2 linked regions of the Drosophila melanogaster genome follow. The protein of the gene in region 2 interacts with the protein of the main gene of each other region in a pairwise test. Each region holds a gene or a part of one and is shown on either strand. Other genes may lie near its edges.

Region 1 (9,024 bases), 9.0 Mb from region 2:
AACCCAGATCTAAGTTGGGTCCAGTTATGTTATGGTTTTACGTTCTCTTTTTAATTTCTCTCTCAGAAATATTCCAATATTCCAATTGGAAGTCGCGCAAAAATTGGAATGAAAACGAGTGCGAAAAAGCAAGACAAAAAAATAGCTGTCGATGTTTCAAAACGCAACACTGTGCCCTGTTATTAAATCGCTCCACACACCTACACATTTACATTTATTTGTGCATGTTGTTTGTTGTTGTTACATACATTACTTACAAACACAAATAGAAACACATGGACACAAAGCAGAACGTCCATTCAACGAAAATTGCGTTCTTATGCTGTTCCGAATCTGGTAACACTTTCTTATTAGCGCTAAAATATTCCGCGACTGGGATAATTCAATTTCAATTGTAACAAATTTACGCCTCTTGGCCAATTATATACAGGACGGGCAGTTTGAAGAGCCAGACCCTGAGTCGAGCCATATTGGGTCAAAGAGTTGGCGGACAGCGCTTAGATATACGCGTCCACAACACCAACACCGACGACTCCGATCAACAGCGCCACCCCCACAAACCCGTGGTCACCAATTGGAACTCCACTGCCACTGCCGCCGAGCCCTGGTCCTGATCGTTCACTGTTAAGTCCCGCCAACAGCAGCTACCTGTCCACATCCACATCACCACACCCGCCACCGGACTACGACGACATCTTCGTTGGGTAATAAGGACTCGGATCTGGACTCCAGACCCACGATACGGATGGTGGAACCGTTATATCGGCTTGGTCGTAAAGGAGGAGCAGGCACCAGTGCAGGAAGTGCACCTTGATGTTAAGGTCCATTAACCAAGCAAACATCACCATGCTGAAGTGCGCTGTTTCGAAGTGGCAGCCGATTTGATGACTAAGATTCATCCCAATTAAACGGTAAGTATTTGCAATTTGTTTTTATTTCTTAAAGAAATTTCTATTAACACACTATCACTTTTCAGACCTATTAAACTCAACTGTGGTGCACGGAACTTAAAAAATCTTAAGGAATATGGTAATTAACATTGGCTTGGTGTAATCAATTAAGTGCAGCTGGTTATTTCAATTGAGCACTTTCTTTTTCCATTTTCGAGAGGAGACGGTGTACCGTGAAAACGGGAACTGCTGTGCCATTTAGACCAAACTGGCAACCTGTTACATATTTCAGCCACGTTAGCCAGGCGACACCTGAAGGTAATAACGGCAGGCCACCTGTTGCTGATCACAAAGACTACAGGAATTTGAAATTACTGACACAGTACCCAATACTATGCCCTTATTTATTCTTAGAACATATGTACATAAATACATTAATCGGCATTTAATGGTATCATCAGTGTTTAAGTCCATGTTTTTGTTGATCTATTACATATGTATTTCTTTAATGACATAAAGAAAAAGCTAAACAATTAGAAACTAAGCCAGAAAGTAGTTGTACAATAGTTAATTAAGGATCGTACCTTATGTTCAGACATACTTTACTTTAATGAAATTTAATCATTCATTTTCCATATAAGTATAATGACTTAAGCATCAGGAATATCTTCTTCACCGTTTACGCTTTAATGAGTTAAGGCCCATGTAAGCTGGGTAATTGAAGTGAAACTTTCTCGATGGCGAGGGACATGCACTCGCTGGGTGAAAGTGGGCATGAGGTCCAGAATCCACTGGAACCACTCGACAAGTCGTCAAGTCAATCTCGGCGTGAAACTCGTTTGCCTGTTCAAGTTTTAGTTGCTTACATCAAGTGCAAAAGATATGAATGTGACAAGTGGTTGCCACTGTCATCGTCATCGATTGCTGGCATGGAATGGACTTGAAGCTTTTCCTGTGCATGCCGCGTGTAAATGTTCTATCATCTGCATTTGGCATGCTCCACATATGGGTTTTCCACTAAAAACTGATAAAAATAAGCGTGGCCTGTTAAGATAGTGGTTGAGATACTTAGACGTTCTTTAATCATCGCGGGTGGTGAAATAAATTCTATTTTTAGAATTCCAACTTCAAATTCAAATAGGTGTTGTCAAGGACTGAACATGCAATGTACTAGGAAAATAGATTGTTACGAAAGTAACACTGACTAAAAAAAATATATAATATTTCGCTTAGATACAATTATAACAGAATTAGAGAAAAAAACAGTTTTACCACGGCGGATTTGTAGGCTTCTATGACATAGAAATAATTGCAGACCAACACACTTTGTAAAAATCAATACGAACAAATTTCAAAGTCGCATAGGAAATGGCCATAAATTGTTGATTGGATCGATTCAATTGAGAACGAGGACGATTCGGTTAGGGAACCTACGTGCATCGAACATTCGGGAATCAATACGACAACTTTAAGAAACTTGCCAGAACAAATTTCACTCATATTAAATTTCGCCAGAGAGGAGATAATTGTATCAGATTTATTTCAGAGGCGCCGTGCTTGACAACACATTATTTTCTTTGATCTTGCTGTTTAAGCAAGAAAATGCTATATGAATCATAAATGTATCTTATGTGTGTAGAAACATATGTGGAAAGTTTTTTTTTCGCAGCAAGTTGATCAAGTGAGATCATTTTATTGCATTGAGCTGTAATTTAATTGAACCGAACGGAAGGCGACAATGAAATGCAACGAATAAATTAGTGTACACGAAGTTAAGTAAAATATATGTACATATGTATGTAGAAGAAACCGACCCACTAAATGTGTGCTAACAACATACATACTTAAATCGTAAGAAATGTACTGCAAATAAGGTAAATACCCTTTATTATTGGTAAGCAGTGTTCTTGAACAACTCGCACTACATTTTATTGAAACAGTTGTTAGTTATTTGTAATTACTGGCAATTAACTTACAAAAGGGCTAAGTTATTCAAGTGCTTTGTTGTGAAAATTCCCTACCTGCTATTATTAAGACCATCGTAAGAATTCAGGATTTCAAGCCGTTTCCAATCGACTTCGATCAGCAATTTGTTGGCCACTCAAACGAGAAGCGTGCAAGTTGAAGTTGAAACATTAAACAGATCTTCTCTAGAGGCTCTCACTTAGGAAACCCCCTGTGCTCGAAAAGCAAAACCAGTTTAGCACCGGTCAATAAATTTCAGCTCAAGATTTTTGCAACTTGTTTTTTTGTTCGCCAAACAAAACAAACCGAAAACCAAGGCTCAGAGATTGAGTTTGACCCACATTTAATCACTTTGAAACACAATTAAATAAATAATATAGAATAGTCGGAATATCAAATAAGAATCATATTCATTGGTCCCATTAGGTAATGCCGCAAAATAAATCCCCATGCTAAGTTCAGACACATTTTGCGCGTATTATACGAAAGAATATATCGAAATAAACATTTCAGATCTGCGTCTGCAATTGTTTTTCCTTTTGCGTCATTCCATGTCACGTGTGGGGGCGGGGCCCACAAAAAAAGATGTATTTTCTTCAAGGTAATATGGAGATTATAAGCCAAAATGTGAGTAAACATTTGTTCGAGAGCCAAAGTGCTAGGCGATTCTAAAAATATACGTAAAGTACTTTGAATTCTAATGCAGACATTCATCTGCTTTTGGAATTTGAACTTCAAATGCATAGTACTCAAATGATCGTTGGACTCTCTGTTTTGAAAAATGGGGTGACATTTGTGAAACAAAACGCATAATGAATTTATCAGCTTTATCTAGTTCCATTTCATTCATTACTGAAACAGGGTTTTACTATTTTACGCTGGGTCTATTAATCAGATAGAGGTGCCAACAATAAATAGTGAATAACAATAATTATAATATCTATAAATCTACAACGAAATTCCTCGCCTGATCATTTCAAGCAGCTTCTGTCTAAATATTCTCTGCACTTTCTAGGTTCCATAAAGTCTGTTTGCAATCCTCGCGCTTCTGGAAATTCCAGAATCAACGTTATCACACGTTTATAACTCTGCTCTTCAATAAAAAGACGAATTGTGACGGATTCTTAAAAAAGTTAAGCGCTTTTAAGCCTTTCCACTAATTGCCTTGAGAAACCTGGGGCATGCTAATTATTTTGCTGAATCTGAATAATTTTGTACATATTGTTATCTTTCGGTGTCGTCATTCAGTTTTTCGGTCAGGTGGTTGTCCACACACGAGAGAGATAATGCATACATATAATACATATAATACATATGGGGAGAATGTGGGGGAAGAAAGCGGTGTCACTTCCGAAGATTTGCACAAAAGTGCGCTGCTTCAGTTAGATAACAGATGGGGAAATGGAGATATCATACCAGCAGAATAATAAAAAACTGGTCATGGGTTGTTAAGTGGGTGTGTAAACAGTATGACGACACTTTATAGATTGAGCACTCAAACAAGCTGCTCAATAAGAGAGCAAAATGATTGGAAGTGTTTTTATATAAGTACTTATTTTCTAGGGAGTGGAATATATCTCCAAAGTCGGGAACAGAAGCACTTCGGCTAAGGAGCACAATAGCAGCACATGTGATCTCAAAATCATTTTAAAATTGATAAAACACTTGGTTTTGGACTTTGTTTACATAACACTCTCTTACCTAACCCGATTGCCACGCGCTACTCAAACTCGAAACCAGGTTTTCAGTCGGATCTTAACAGTTCGTCGCGAAAAGTCCTAGGGGCTTGCCGGGCATTAAGGCAGGTTCTCAAGGTCAACGAAAAGCAATTAACCGGAAAAGACGAAATGCCGCCACGTTCCCAAATTTCTAGCTGCAAACCACTTATCACTAATCACCTGCCTAATCACAAGTAATTACCGCTTTCTCAAAATCAAACTTACCATTTTTGTAGTTTCGGTCGCCATGGTTGGGGATCTATATGGTATAGATACTATTGGTATATCTGAAGAATTGATCACGCCGTTTCTCTTTCAGCACAACCGTAAGCGATTATTTCATAATTTCCACCACCGCGCCGAAAAATAACATATATATATATATATATTCGTTGGCTAGACCACTTTTTATGAATATGTTGCTTTGCGTTCGACGACTAATATGCGAATGCTACCAAAACTCAAAACCAAACCCAAACGATTTTCTTTCGCATTCTCCTCTCTCTCTCTCTCTCACTCGCTCTCTCTCTCTTTTAAGCCCTGGACATGGAAAATATCTGATAAGTTGTCGTTGTCTCTGTGGGCAAATACAAATACTTTAATACGCTAAGAGACACATTTAAACTTGTTTTTGCTGTGCATGCTTCTTTGTAGGGGCGTATTTACTATATTCTACACAGGTATATCTACATATCGTTCGTACACTTAAAGTATTTTTTACCTAGTTGACCTTTATGGTAAATTAAAATATTCGGAAGGGTTACTTTAATATTTTTATATAAATATTTTTAAAAGTGCTCTTTATTTAAGCCATGTTAATACTTTGATACTTTGTAATTTTAACAGGCAGTCAAAAACCCTTTTCAAACAATTTTTGGTATACTCCGCATGTAATTGAAATTTATTTTACGTTTGTCAAATGTAGAACAACGCGATATATACATACTCTGGCCTTGAAATTTAATTAAATGTTGTTTGAATATGCTTTGTAGTTCCTATAGTCTCTTTGACTCACCGTGCAAATTGCTAATGCATTTTTCGAGACCGGTGTAACTTGGCATTTCATTAATTTAGGATTATGTTGTCGATACAGACTGTTCTATTTAGCATAAGTCAGCGACTCATGCCCATGTTGATGAATTTTAATATGTGAGTATGAAAAGCCTTTTCCAAAGACTCAAAACGGAACACTCAGCTGGCAAAGGGTGTATGTTGATGTTCCTTCAGCGTTTTGTGGTTGTCTGAAATTAAATTTCTTTTTATATCAAAGTGCAAAAATAGCTTAAAAAGTCGATCTTACCTGTCATTTTCACTGATGAGAAGTGGGTTCCGGTGATCTGCCAGGACCAGGAGATATACTGAGTCTGGCTATAAAATATATGATATAATTCAAAACGACCCCAGCATTACTCCGTATGGAAGTTAAAGAATGCAGTTTTAAGTAACGAAAAATAGCCACCACACATTTAGAAATGTTTTGATTTATTTTATATTGTTATCTTTATTGCCACTATGTTTCTATATTTCCAACGAATTTTAAATGTCTTATATTATAGGAACTCGAGCTCCTCTAGTTTTGAATGTCTGTCTTACTTTTCCTTTTTTCACTCCTCTCTTCAGGATTTGAATAAATTATGATGGTCTTCCTAATAAAAATCCATAAGTTGAAAAATTTTAATGTTTTCAAATATAAAGAATACAAACTGACTTTAAAGAAGATACAGTCTTATTGAAAAAAAATTAAGTTGCCTTACTTTTCTCTTGCTCTTACTTTCTCACTTCTCTGATCACTTCCGATCGAAATTTTCGATGGCATAAAGCGTGTTTATGCTAGATATTTTTTTTGCACGCCGTGGTACCTGAAGAAATACATTCTGAGTGCATGAATCATGTGTCTAAACTCAAATCTTTACCTAAACTATCACTGTTAATTTGTGATTAATTCTTGGCAGAATCAGGATCAATTGTAATGGGGAAAACGAAATCTTTCATTTTTTTCCGCATTCCTAGTCTGATGCCAGTGCAACTAAAACTTCTGCGATCTGAGATCTCGACGTTCATACGGACAGGCGGACATGGGTAGATCGACTCGGCTATTGATCCTGATCAGGAATATATATACTTTATATAGTGCGAAACGCTTCCTTCTGCCTGTTACATACTTTTTAAATCTAGTATAATGAGCTCCGATTCTTCCAGCCAATCTACAGCGAATGCTGTGTCTGCAATATTGACCCCGATTTCCTACATTTCCTAATACCCTGCATCCTAAACGATTTCATCGCCCTTCAGTCCCCTTAGATCCAGCAACACGAATTCAAAACTTATAGACATCTTAAAAACCCCCACATCCAAATTTCTGAAAAAAGCCAATATAATCCATTTACTGTAAACAATTTTTCGTAATCCCCAATTATTAATCCCTTTAAATATATTGTAAATAATTGTAAGTAATGTTGTAACCTAATACTTAAATATTAAATAGTAAATATTAAAGGCTGGCTGAAAACCCCAACAGCTATAGCGTATCTTTACATTAACTATCATGAATCATAACTTTAAAACTTTTGTCTACAGTGTACAAATAAATAAAAAAATATAAAAATTTTAGCTAATACCTTTACGAAAATTTTTAATATTTAAGTACTTTTAGTCACTTTATTGCGTATTTTCGCCGAATTCGCTCTCTTTCTTTTTCGCTCGCAAAATCAGTTCGCCTCGCTTAAATTCGCCAGCACGTTTTTACTTACGTGTAATTTGACATGAACCCGAGCATTGTATCGTGGGGTTGTGAACTTAGAAAGAGCTGATCAAGTTCTGTCGCCTGCCGACAGATGGTGCTTTACATAGAATCTTCGTGCTAATAAAAATTAATTAAAAAAAGGTATCCATTGCTTAGCGAGTGGGAATGCACAGTTGAAATTTTAAAATTGTTTTGTGAATATCGTTAGAAATTGGAAAAAAACATATAAAATATCGAAATTCAACAGCTTGTTGAAAATTGTGGGCGTAATCTACCCATAATGTTTTTTGGCATATCAATAGAGATGAAGTAACATAAAATTCAAATAATCAAAATGTTTTTAAAAATTGCCTGATTAGTGGTTTTTGGCGCCAAGTGGGCGTGGCAATGCTCTGAAGCATGAACGGCGTCGACGTCGCGAGGATCTGCATACTTAATCTTAACTATTCCGAGATCACAGCGTACTCAAGGACATTTTAACGATTTTTAAAATATTTTTTTTTATTTGTTGGTTTAATTCATATATAAACACAATCAAGTCGGTCAATGAAATCACCAATTGGAAACTTACTTCTGTTGGACACCTTGTTTTTCATCTTAATCTCTGTTTGCAATTTTATCGATAAGTTTTCTAAGAAGGTGAGTAAGCTCTTTTGATTTCGAAAATTACTGGACAATTACCATCAATTATTATACTTTTCTAAAATTAGATTGGAATCTTTTCAGCTCATTTGAAGACGTTCATTTCGGTTTCTTTTTTCTTTATATAAGATAAATGATATAAATGTCATGATAAAAAACAAACGTAAAAAGCTTAAAGTTTTTCTCCGTTATGAGTTTTATTTTTTAAATGTAGCATGGATGCCATATGATGGTTAACAAAACTATAAGGATAGTCATAATATCGACGCACCATGTTCATTGACGATACGGAAGTAACTTTAATTTTGTTAATTAGCTGGCAAGAAGTATTTGGTCAAAGGAACGAGATCCTTGAATTGGTAATCAACGGCGACGCCCCCGCCAACCAATTACGATCAGAAGCAGGAGTACAAATTGTGAAAATATCATTAACAGGCCATATTAAATTTCATTGAAGGGAGGAAGAACAAAGCGGAAGTAAATTTCATTATTTTGATTTCAACGAGATCAGACTTCTTCTGCCGCGTCATCGTCGTCATTATGATCATGATAATGATCATGATGAGCAAGCTGGCATCGGGGATCAGCGCAGCCGCAGCGACCGTTAACACCCATTGCAGTTTTCCGAGCGGTTAGAGGCAACTTCCCGTAAACCCCAAATCGCAACCCTATAATATTAATAACTATCCCATATTCCATACCATACCAAACTGACGCTGCAGTTGCGCGCCGAGCTGTCAGACGTTGATTGCGACGATGCTGCTTTGTGCCTGCCCCTTTCGACGATTTCGGGCCAGGATAACGAACTCCAGAGAAGGACTCCGGATCAGAAACCCTCTCTCCTTCTCTCTCTTCGCCTACCCTTTTCACGGCATTGAATTTCCCCCTTTCGTTTTTTGGGCCGTCTAGCATTTGTTTTTGTTTTGTCCTCGGCGAGATTTTTTTTTTTTTTTTAGCAGCGGGTTGAATGATTCCTTTTTTTTTTGCGCAGCTGCTCTGGGTTTTTTCGGTTTTGTAAATCGCTGTTTGTTGATCGCCACTTGATGGGAAACCACTCGATTTTCGA
Region 2 (8,826 bases):
CAGCTGCTTGGTCACTGCATCCAGGGTGGACTGAATGGTGGAGGGCAGTGACGAGAGGGCGGCCAGTTGTCGCTGCACATCTGCCAACTGGCGCTCCAGGGCCAATTCCTCCTCGCTTTTAACTGGCACTGGAGTAATGGGTTCCGCCGGTGGGGTTGCTCCTGCTGGACCATCGGAAGCTTCGTTGCCATCGGGTGAGCCCGGTTCTGTTTGGATAACCACTTCCGGCTCGCAAACCTCCTTGGGGGCATCACTCTTCTCCGGCTGCTCGTCCGGCAATTCGGTCTCGGGAAGTTGCTCCAAATTCGGCACCTCACTGTCCGTGGGCAGTGGTTCCTCATCCTTTTCGGGCTCCGGTTCGGGCTCCACCACCTCCTCCGGCACTGGTTCCTCTTCCTTCTTCTCCACTTCCTTGGGTGGCGTTGCTTCTTTTGGCGCCGGCTTAGCTTCCGGCTGTCACACGTAAACACAAATTAACTTTTGATCTTGGTCAGCAAATAATGCACTGAGAGAAAATTTAACCCAAGAATCTACGATTTAAGATTAAGGAACTTTTTCTTAAAAATTAACACATCTCATCACTTTTGCATCTTAATCTTAAAGTTTTGTTTTGTGCACAAGCTTCTTGGGTTAATATTCTCAAATTTCGTGCAGCTTTCCTCTGAGTGCATTCACTCACTCACCATTGGCGACTTTTCCCGTGGCGCCGACTTAACAATCGTCACCTTGTAGGCATTGGCCGCCCGTCGTTCCGCCTCCAGGGATTGCTTGCTCTTGGGAACGGGGCGATTGGGACGCTGCAGGAAAGTGGACCATTGACGGTTCTCCTTGTCCTTCTCCAGCTTGGTCTTGGTCACCTCCTCGTTGAGGGAGCGCAGTACGTCGCTGGACATGCAGACGCCCGGCTTTGGGAAGATCCTATAGAAATTGACGCTATCATATGGAAGTGGTTAAAAGAACTCGCCCGCATAGCATGCCAACAAATGGGGAAGTAGTCAAGGAGGGAACTGGCGGGAGAAATGGGTTTAAATTGAATAGTACGCACCCAAGGACATTGTGCTCCTTGAGCACCTCCGACTCGCCGGACAGCACGGCTGCAATTTCCTCCTCCACCAGCTTAATTTCCTGCCTTTCGGACAGCGCCGAGCACGGACGATCGGGTAAATCGGGCAAGTAGAGATTCTCGACGGGAAGGCCTCCTTCATCTGCCTGGCCTGGTGCATCATGCCCATTCACATCCCCTCGTTTCTCTTCCGAATGCACTTCCGACATGGGTTGGCGACATTCCGCCAGGACATCCACGTCCACTTCCACAGCAGGAGCCGCCATAGTCGCAGCAGCGAGTTCCCGGGGTAGCGGAACGAATGGCTCCGGTTCCGGAGTACGGGCATTTGTGGTTTCCGTCAGCTGGGACAGCGATGGAGTCGGCGACGGTGAAATGGTCGGCATTGGTGACTTGGTCAACGAACCCTCGCTCGTGGGAAACTTCTTTAGGCACTCGTAAGCGTCCTCCTCGTTCTCCCTGCACATGGATCCAAGTGACCAAAAAGTGAGCAGAATTTATGAACATTAGAATTAATTCCGTAACGTGGAATACCTGAGATGGAGCCCTGGTTTCGGGGACACTCTAAGAATAATTATTCATAACCCGAAAAAGTTGAAATACAAACTTAATTCAAATAATATAAATTGCTTCTAAAATGGTAGGGTAATTTTCAAAACTAATGGGGCTAGGTGGGTTTTTGAATTTAACTTTTCTTAGTTTATAATTATAATAAAATTAACTATTATGATATATTAACCAAATGTCATTTTACCCAGACAACTTTTTAAGAAAGCGCTTTATTTTTCCAGAACTTTATTCTTAAATCACGAAAATTTGTCATATTTTTTCCATTTCTCTCGAGGTCGTTTGTGGTTTGTGAATTTCTTGAACAAGTAGATTACCTTGAGCAGGGGCATGAGGAAACGTTCTTGGGTTGTTAGCCCGCTCAGCTGTGATAAATGGTCCTCGGTGGATGGGATACAAAGAGTAGTAGTAAAGGAACCGGACAAGGACGAGGACCACGACCACGAGCAGTAAGAGAACGAAACGGAATGGTATGGAATAGAAGGATGGGAAAGCTCACCGGTAGACGCCAAAATAGAAGACGCTTCCACTGCCCATAATGAGGCGGTGGGCCTCGTCGTGGGTAAGGGGCGTGGCAGCCGTGTCATTGATGCGCACGATGATATCCTCGACCCGCAGTCCAGCCTCGTCAGCAATGCTGCCCTCGGTCACCTAACGTTGAAGCATATGGACATGTTTAGATCTAGATGGGAATGCCTAGATATCGCCCGATTCAGATGCGGATATGGGAATGTGGCGATAGAATGAGTGCGAGGCCGAGATAGTCGAGATAGCCGAGATACAATACAATGGGATGCGATGCGATAATGGGGAAATTTCTATTAGCCGACAACGGCGACGTCGCGTGCTAAGTGCATAAAAATAAAACGCGCGCCAAATGTCAACAAAACAAAGACCAGCAGACCCAGACCCCCGAACAGACAATCATACAATCACGCACAAACCCAACAGAACCGAAGACAATGCCCAAGGAGATGGGGGGGCTACAGAGGATCTGTGGGGGCTGGGGGCTCAGAACGAGGGGTGCTCGAGTAGAAGTGGCAGCTCATTAACGACACTTCAGTTAAGCGAGTCAAGTGGAATTACCCATGTCTAACCACTCAAATATTGCATTGTTTCGCCGGATGGAAATGTTTGAGTTGAAGGATGATTCTACATACGTACATATATACAAAGTTATGAGTTCACTTAAAGAGAAGATTAATTTGTAAGGATAGAGAACCAAATATTGCTGATTCCAAAAAGATAAATGTTCAAACAACTCTACCACTAATATTTAAATAGCTTGTAAAAGCTTTTTTTTACAGAAGTTCTGCAATTTTAAAGCGGGGGTAAAAAATAATGTACAACTAATGAAACTTTCTAGGTCATCCAAAGTTCACAATAGTTTTCTCTAATTACAAAATTAAATTTTTAGAAATAAAAACCCACTGGACTAATCGTTTTAATTGGATAATACAATTTATGGCTCTTTTTTTGGAAAATTGGTAAATGTATATTCCGGAAATGGTACCAAATGACCGTGTAAGAGAATATCGTTTCAAAAATTTGCATTTGCCAACATTTATTTTCGCAACTATAAATCAAAGTGAAAATGTTGCGAGAACAATAACAACTAAATACAATATAAGCTTTATGGCTTTTGTGGGTAATAAAGTACAGACAAATTGGCGCAAATTGAGCATATAAATTGTAGGAATTCATTTAAAATGGTTTTGCCACTTCGGCCTTCAAAATTGCCAGCATACGAAGTGAGAATTCATCAAACTAATAGTTATGGATGAATTATGTTTCGCCTTCAAAATGCGAAATATCTTAGCACTCTGTTCAAAGAATTCTATTGCATAATTCAGGCAGTTTTGTAACACTTTCGTGGGCAAATAAACGCGATTGTTTTCGTTTCCGTTATGAGAAAGCAGGGTTCATAACCAGAAAGTCACGACACCGACTGCCAAGAGGACTTAGTAATGCAAATACTGCAAAAAAAAAAAAGTGGTTGGCACAAGGAGCAGGTGGAGGGTTGGAGACTCCACCATTTCACCCAACCAAGTTGAGGGTCTTTCCTTTCAGTCCCAGGGGTCTCTTGCATTTCACTTATGGTAGAGTCAATTTCCAGCGGTGAATTCGCAGAGCAAAAAGCACTCGACATCGTCGGAGGTTGCGAATATTTATAGAACAAAGGCTTTGGGCTTAGCTGGGCCATACATCTATGTACCAGACTGTATGTGGCGAGCAGCATGACGAAGAGTGGTAGTGTAAACAGAGGTTTTTCAAAAGATTACCAAGGATTGTTTAGTGTTTGCAGAGCCAATATGTGAAGGTGTGTTGGCACATTCCATAAAGTAATATGGACTCGAGTCGAAGGATGTGCTTTTTGAGTCTCTAACATGTAGTAAGGAATTCTTAAAAGCGGAGTATTAGTATAAGGAATAAATTAGCTAAGTTAATTTAGGGAGTTCATTGGAATGAAGAACATTCCGGACATTTTTCAGTTTTTTCTCTATCAGCCAGCTTGTGAAGTTAATAATTCATTTACAATAAACTTCCATTTTTTCATGGTATGCATATCCCAAAGCACAAACATTTTATAAATTGATCGGAATTTAAAATAACCCATAGCATAATTTGTTTATGTAAAACGGTAAAAAAAAAATAACCAAAAAGTCAAAAACAATTTATGACCTCCCTTCCTTGACTCTGCGGCTTAAATTGATTTATTCGTATCGAAGGGATGGGATTTTTTAGCGCCCCTCGCATTTCGGTCATTTGTTTTATGCGCTTAGCAGTTTGCCAATTAAAAATCGCATTTGTTTCGGATTTACGACGATGCTATAGTATTGTATGTATTGTATTTTTGTTATTGTTGCTGGTTGCGAATTGTCAACACAATGTTACAAAATGCGAATTGCCAAATGCAATTTATGCACAAACAAAGGACCAACTGCCAGCGAAACACAATTAAAATTTGAATAAGTTTATTGCCGCTGCCATTATGCGGCTCATTAGCGGGAAATGTATGGCCCTGTCGATTAGATAAACAAAAGCGAGAGGAATTACTTTAATTAACTAATTTGCCAATGCAGCAAATCCGAATGGACACACACGCATCGCGGCGTTACGTAATATTGCAATCGAACAAATAAAACTGATTCGAACGTATCGTATCGAATTAATCCAATGTGATTCATCAGCTGCATAGTGAGCAATATTTTCCACTGGTCTATGAACATCCGCCAGGTGAATGGGCTGAGGTGATGCGTGGGGGGGTGGGGGTTGCAGCATATAGATTTCGTTCTTTTTTCGAATCGGGCCTAACCTTAACCACCGTCAGCGGATAATCGTAGTCCGCCCCGCCCACCAGGCGAAAGCCCCAGGGCACATTATCAAATCGGCACATCTTAATGTCGAGCACCATGTTTCCTTGATTTATTCCGACTTTTTTTGTTCGTTTCGATTTTTCCGTTTTCTATCGCGAATTTTCTTCCACTTTTTTTTTTGCTTTTTTTCTAGCTTTTCCGGCACTTTGCGGTCGGTGGGAAGAAGCGAGTGTTTCGAGTGCAGCGCTGGCAACCAACTGTTGGCATCGCCGTGCGTGCAACTCGACAATCGAGTGGCCATGGCGATGGCGATGATGGTGATCGAAGCGATTTCGCACACTGCCGCCGGAGGAGCTTCATCGAAGCATACTTTCCTCCTGGCCACGACATGCTAATGAGGCTGCCACACTGTCAGCCATCGGCCCACATACCCCTTATCCCCATGCCCCACAGATATCTGGTCGTAATCGTAATCGCAATCGACAGCAGTCAGAGCCTCTTAGCGGCAATGTAACAGGTTGGGCGAACGGGTTATGCTTTGAAGTGGGCGGATTTTTTGGCGGTGATTACACTGAAAACTATGCTCGATAAAGCTGTGTGCATCAATTCACACTTTAGAGCAAGTCCCATAAGGCTAACTCTTCTGAATATCTTAAAAATGTCTTACAAATACATTCCAAACTATTGGTATAGATAGATATAGGTAATGATACAACTGATATTTGCTAAGAAATACAATACAATACCCCAACTACCAAAACAACAGTGCATCGCTTTTCCATCCAAATTGGGGAGTAGAGCTAGAAATAGAGTTTGCATTTTTAGGGGAAAAACGGTACCTGAAACATGGGTGATCAAAGGATTTGCAGTTTGTACGCCCGTGGGGCTTGCTATGCCACTGCAATGCTAGACTGCAGAAGAGGCCATTGAACTGCATTAGCTAGCGCTTCCGATTTAGTGGTATAAATACCAGTTGCAGCCCAGAGCATTCACTGCATATCCAAGATGTTTAGCCAGCACAACGGTGCAGCAGTACATGGCCTTCGGCTCCAGTCGCTGCTCATCGCAGCCATGCTCACCGCTGCAATGGCAATGGTCACGCCGACTGGCAGTGGTCACCAGTTGCTGCCCCCCGGAAACCACAAACTCTGCGGCCCCGCACTGTCCGATGCCATGGATGTGGTGTGTCCCCATGGCTTTAATACGCTGCCAAGGAAACGTGAAAGCTTGCTGGGCAACAGCGACGACGACGAGGACACGGAGCAGGAGGTGCAGGATGATAGCAGCATGTGGCAGACACTGGACGGGGCAGGATACTCTTTTAGTCCACTGCTAACCAATCTGTACGGATCCGAGGTCCTGATCAAGATGCGTCGCCACAGGAGACACCTGACCGGTGGCGTCTACGACGAGTGCTGCGTCAAGACCTGCAGCTACTTGGAGTTAGCCATCTACTGTCTACCGAAATAGGACACTTGGCCAACACACACACATTCATTACCCAGCATGCATACACATACATACATACATACGAACACTTGAACATGGCATTCCCACATACATACTATATGTACACCCGTTCTCCTAACAGCATTCGTAATCCAATTCGTAATCACTTATTTATGCAGCACCAACTTTGACTAATGAATAAAAGTAGACAGTGCAAAAAGAAGAATTTGTGTGAGCGGCAAAGACAAGACAGTCAAAGGAAAAGTACCAAGGAGGCGTAATTCGTTGCCAGGATGCTGCTGGCTCCAATCAGCTGGCTCGGGTTCTTGTTGGCCTACTCCGGCCTGCCGGGCGCCCAGGCGCGGATTGGTAAGTATAGGGTAGAAATGGTAGAGGCAAACGGGCTGTAAAGGCGAGGTAACTTTAAGACCAAGGACTTATTTGGTATTCATAAATGCAGGGCTTAGTACGGCCTGGCTGTTTATACATAAATTGTTTAATTGGCTGACAGCAAAACGCCCACAAAGCCCTTCTTCTCCCAAACACAGCCACCCAAAAACCACCCACAATTTTCCAATAGCCATTTGCATAAGTCAGCTTTGACATTGAATGAGTTTAGCCAGGCGTTAGAGAGAAGAGCCAACTCCGGAATGCACTCATCGCATCCTAACACAATTTGACAACCTGACTTTTGAGGATAACATGTGTGTGGATCCAGACCCCGACCCCGAGAGACCGACCCCGACCCAGACCCAGTTTAAGTTTCTTACGAGGCAGTATATAAGCCAGTTACTTTGGGCCAAACATCATCAGTTAGCTTTCGACCCGGCTCGACCCAACTTAATCCATTTGATCGTAAAGCAACCTAAGCAGTAAACCCATAACCATGAGCAAGCCTTTGTCCTTCATCTCGATGGTGGCCGTGATTTTGCTGGCCAGCTCCACAGTGAAGTTGGCCCAAGGAACGCTCTGCAGTGAAAAGCTCAACGAGGTGCTGAGTATGGTGTGCGAGGAGTATAATCCCGTGATTCCACACAAGCGCGCCATGCGTAAGTTCTTACAAGGATGCAGATCCTCAAGCTGGCTTTGCTAGATCTACATTGTATCCACGATTTTTATTAGCCGGTGCCGACAGCGATCTGGACGCCCTCAATCCCCTGCAGTTTGTCCAGGAGTTCGAGGAGGAGGATAACTCGATATCGGAACCGCTGCGAAGTGCCCTCTTTCCTGGGAGCTATCTTGGGGGTGTACTCAATTCCCTGGCTGAAGTCCGGAGGCGAACTCGCCAACGGCAAGGAATCGTGGAGAGGTGCTGCAAAAAGTCCTGTGATATGAAGGCTCTGCGGGAGTACTGCTCCGTGGTCAGAAATTAGGCCTCCTAATGCGAAAATCATTGACCCCAACTGACCTGGTCGACGCGATTATCTCTGGATCTGGTTCCAAACCAACCATGTGCATATATACTACAATCGATGTTTTTTACAGCTTGTTGCATGTTACTCTTTACGAATGATCGAAATGGATTAAATATATATTCTGCTTTAAGCTTTGGCAAACAATCGCAAATGCTACTTTATATTATTATTAATTTGGGACGTTACATTTATTATTATCATTATATGATATATATGTTGATTATTACACTTGAATAAAAAGCGATATAACACAAGTATTCAGAAATCTAAAATGAATATATCTTTTTTTCTATTAAAACTAAATTTATTGAAAACAAAAAAAATCTTAAAAAAACTTGAAACAATTTAAACCATTCATTCATTTCCAAAACTTGTTTCTGTCTTAATACAGTAGGCAATCCAATTGCAATTCAAAAGTTAGTCGCATGTGGGAAATTTCCAAATTTTAGTTCATAGCTTTTTTCGTACTTCGTTTATCGATGATTATATCATCCGTAAAGAAGTAATTGATCAAATCTTATAATCAAAACATTGACTTACTTTTATGTTGACCTTAAAAGTCGAGTATTTCTAGTCGCGGTTGGCCGATTTTATAGCAATACTCATAATTTAATCGTTCTGTGTAGTTGTAAATTAGAAGATTATTACATTTTGAAAGCTAAAATAAACGGAATCAACTAAATTCATGCAGACCTTAAATAACAATCACGCATTACCAAATGCAAGGCATTAAAAGTGCAAAACGGATAATCTTAGTAAATTAACTAAAATATTAATAAATATCGTTTTAAAACTGACCATTTCAGCGTAGGTTTTGAGGGCATTAAATTGGAATGATTTTAAACTTTACAATGAACAGAGTTTGTTAAAAAATCACAGCTTCCTTTTCAACATAGTTGCAAACAGAAATCCGGCCGCTGTTCAATAAATAATTAACTGCAATGAACGACAATGAAAAATCAATGTAATACCCGTTTCATTACCAATCAAGTTGGCCAATCTGCAGCAGTTTGAA

The links. Proteins that work in one complex are often made in the same cells at the same time.
Region 1: the proteins of Zasp67 (region 2) and Indy interact in a two-hybrid assay, tested with the Drosophila melanogaster proteins (one large-scale study listed by BioGRID).

The regions. Positions count from the first base shown.
Region 1 is NT_037436.4:18,841,238-18,850,261, forward strand, and holds the start of Indy (I'm not dead yet), read right to left. Parts: upstream 5,031-9,024; 5' UTR 4,823-5,030; coding exon 4,799-4,822; intron 1,550-4,798; exon of another isoform or gene 1,109-1,549; intron 1,030-1,108; exon of another isoform or gene 977-1,029; intron 912-976; exon of another isoform or gene 342-911; intron 175-341; exon of another isoform or gene 1-174. UniProt on the Drosophila melanogaster protein: Cation-independent electroneutral transporter (not associated with membrane depolarization) of a variety of tricarboxylic and dicarboxylic acid-cycle intermediates. There is also small, but detectable, transport of monocarboxylics.
Region 2 is NT_037436.4:9,792,482-9,801,307, forward strand, and holds the start of Zasp67 (Z band alternatively spliced PDZ-motif protein 67), read right to left. Parts: upstream 5,207-8,826; 5' UTR 5,046-5,206; coding exon 4,947-5,045; intron 2,282-4,946; coding exon 2,130-2,281; intron 1,523-2,129; coding exon 1,046-1,522; intron 934-1,045; coding exon 684-933; intron 454-683; coding exon 1-453. Other genes in the region: Ilp1 (Insulin-like peptide 1), read left to right, coding at 5,953-6,417; CG32052 (uncharacterized protein), read left to right, coding at 6,690-6,765; Ilp2 (Insulin-like peptide 2), read left to right, coding at 7,283-7,445, 7,519-7,769.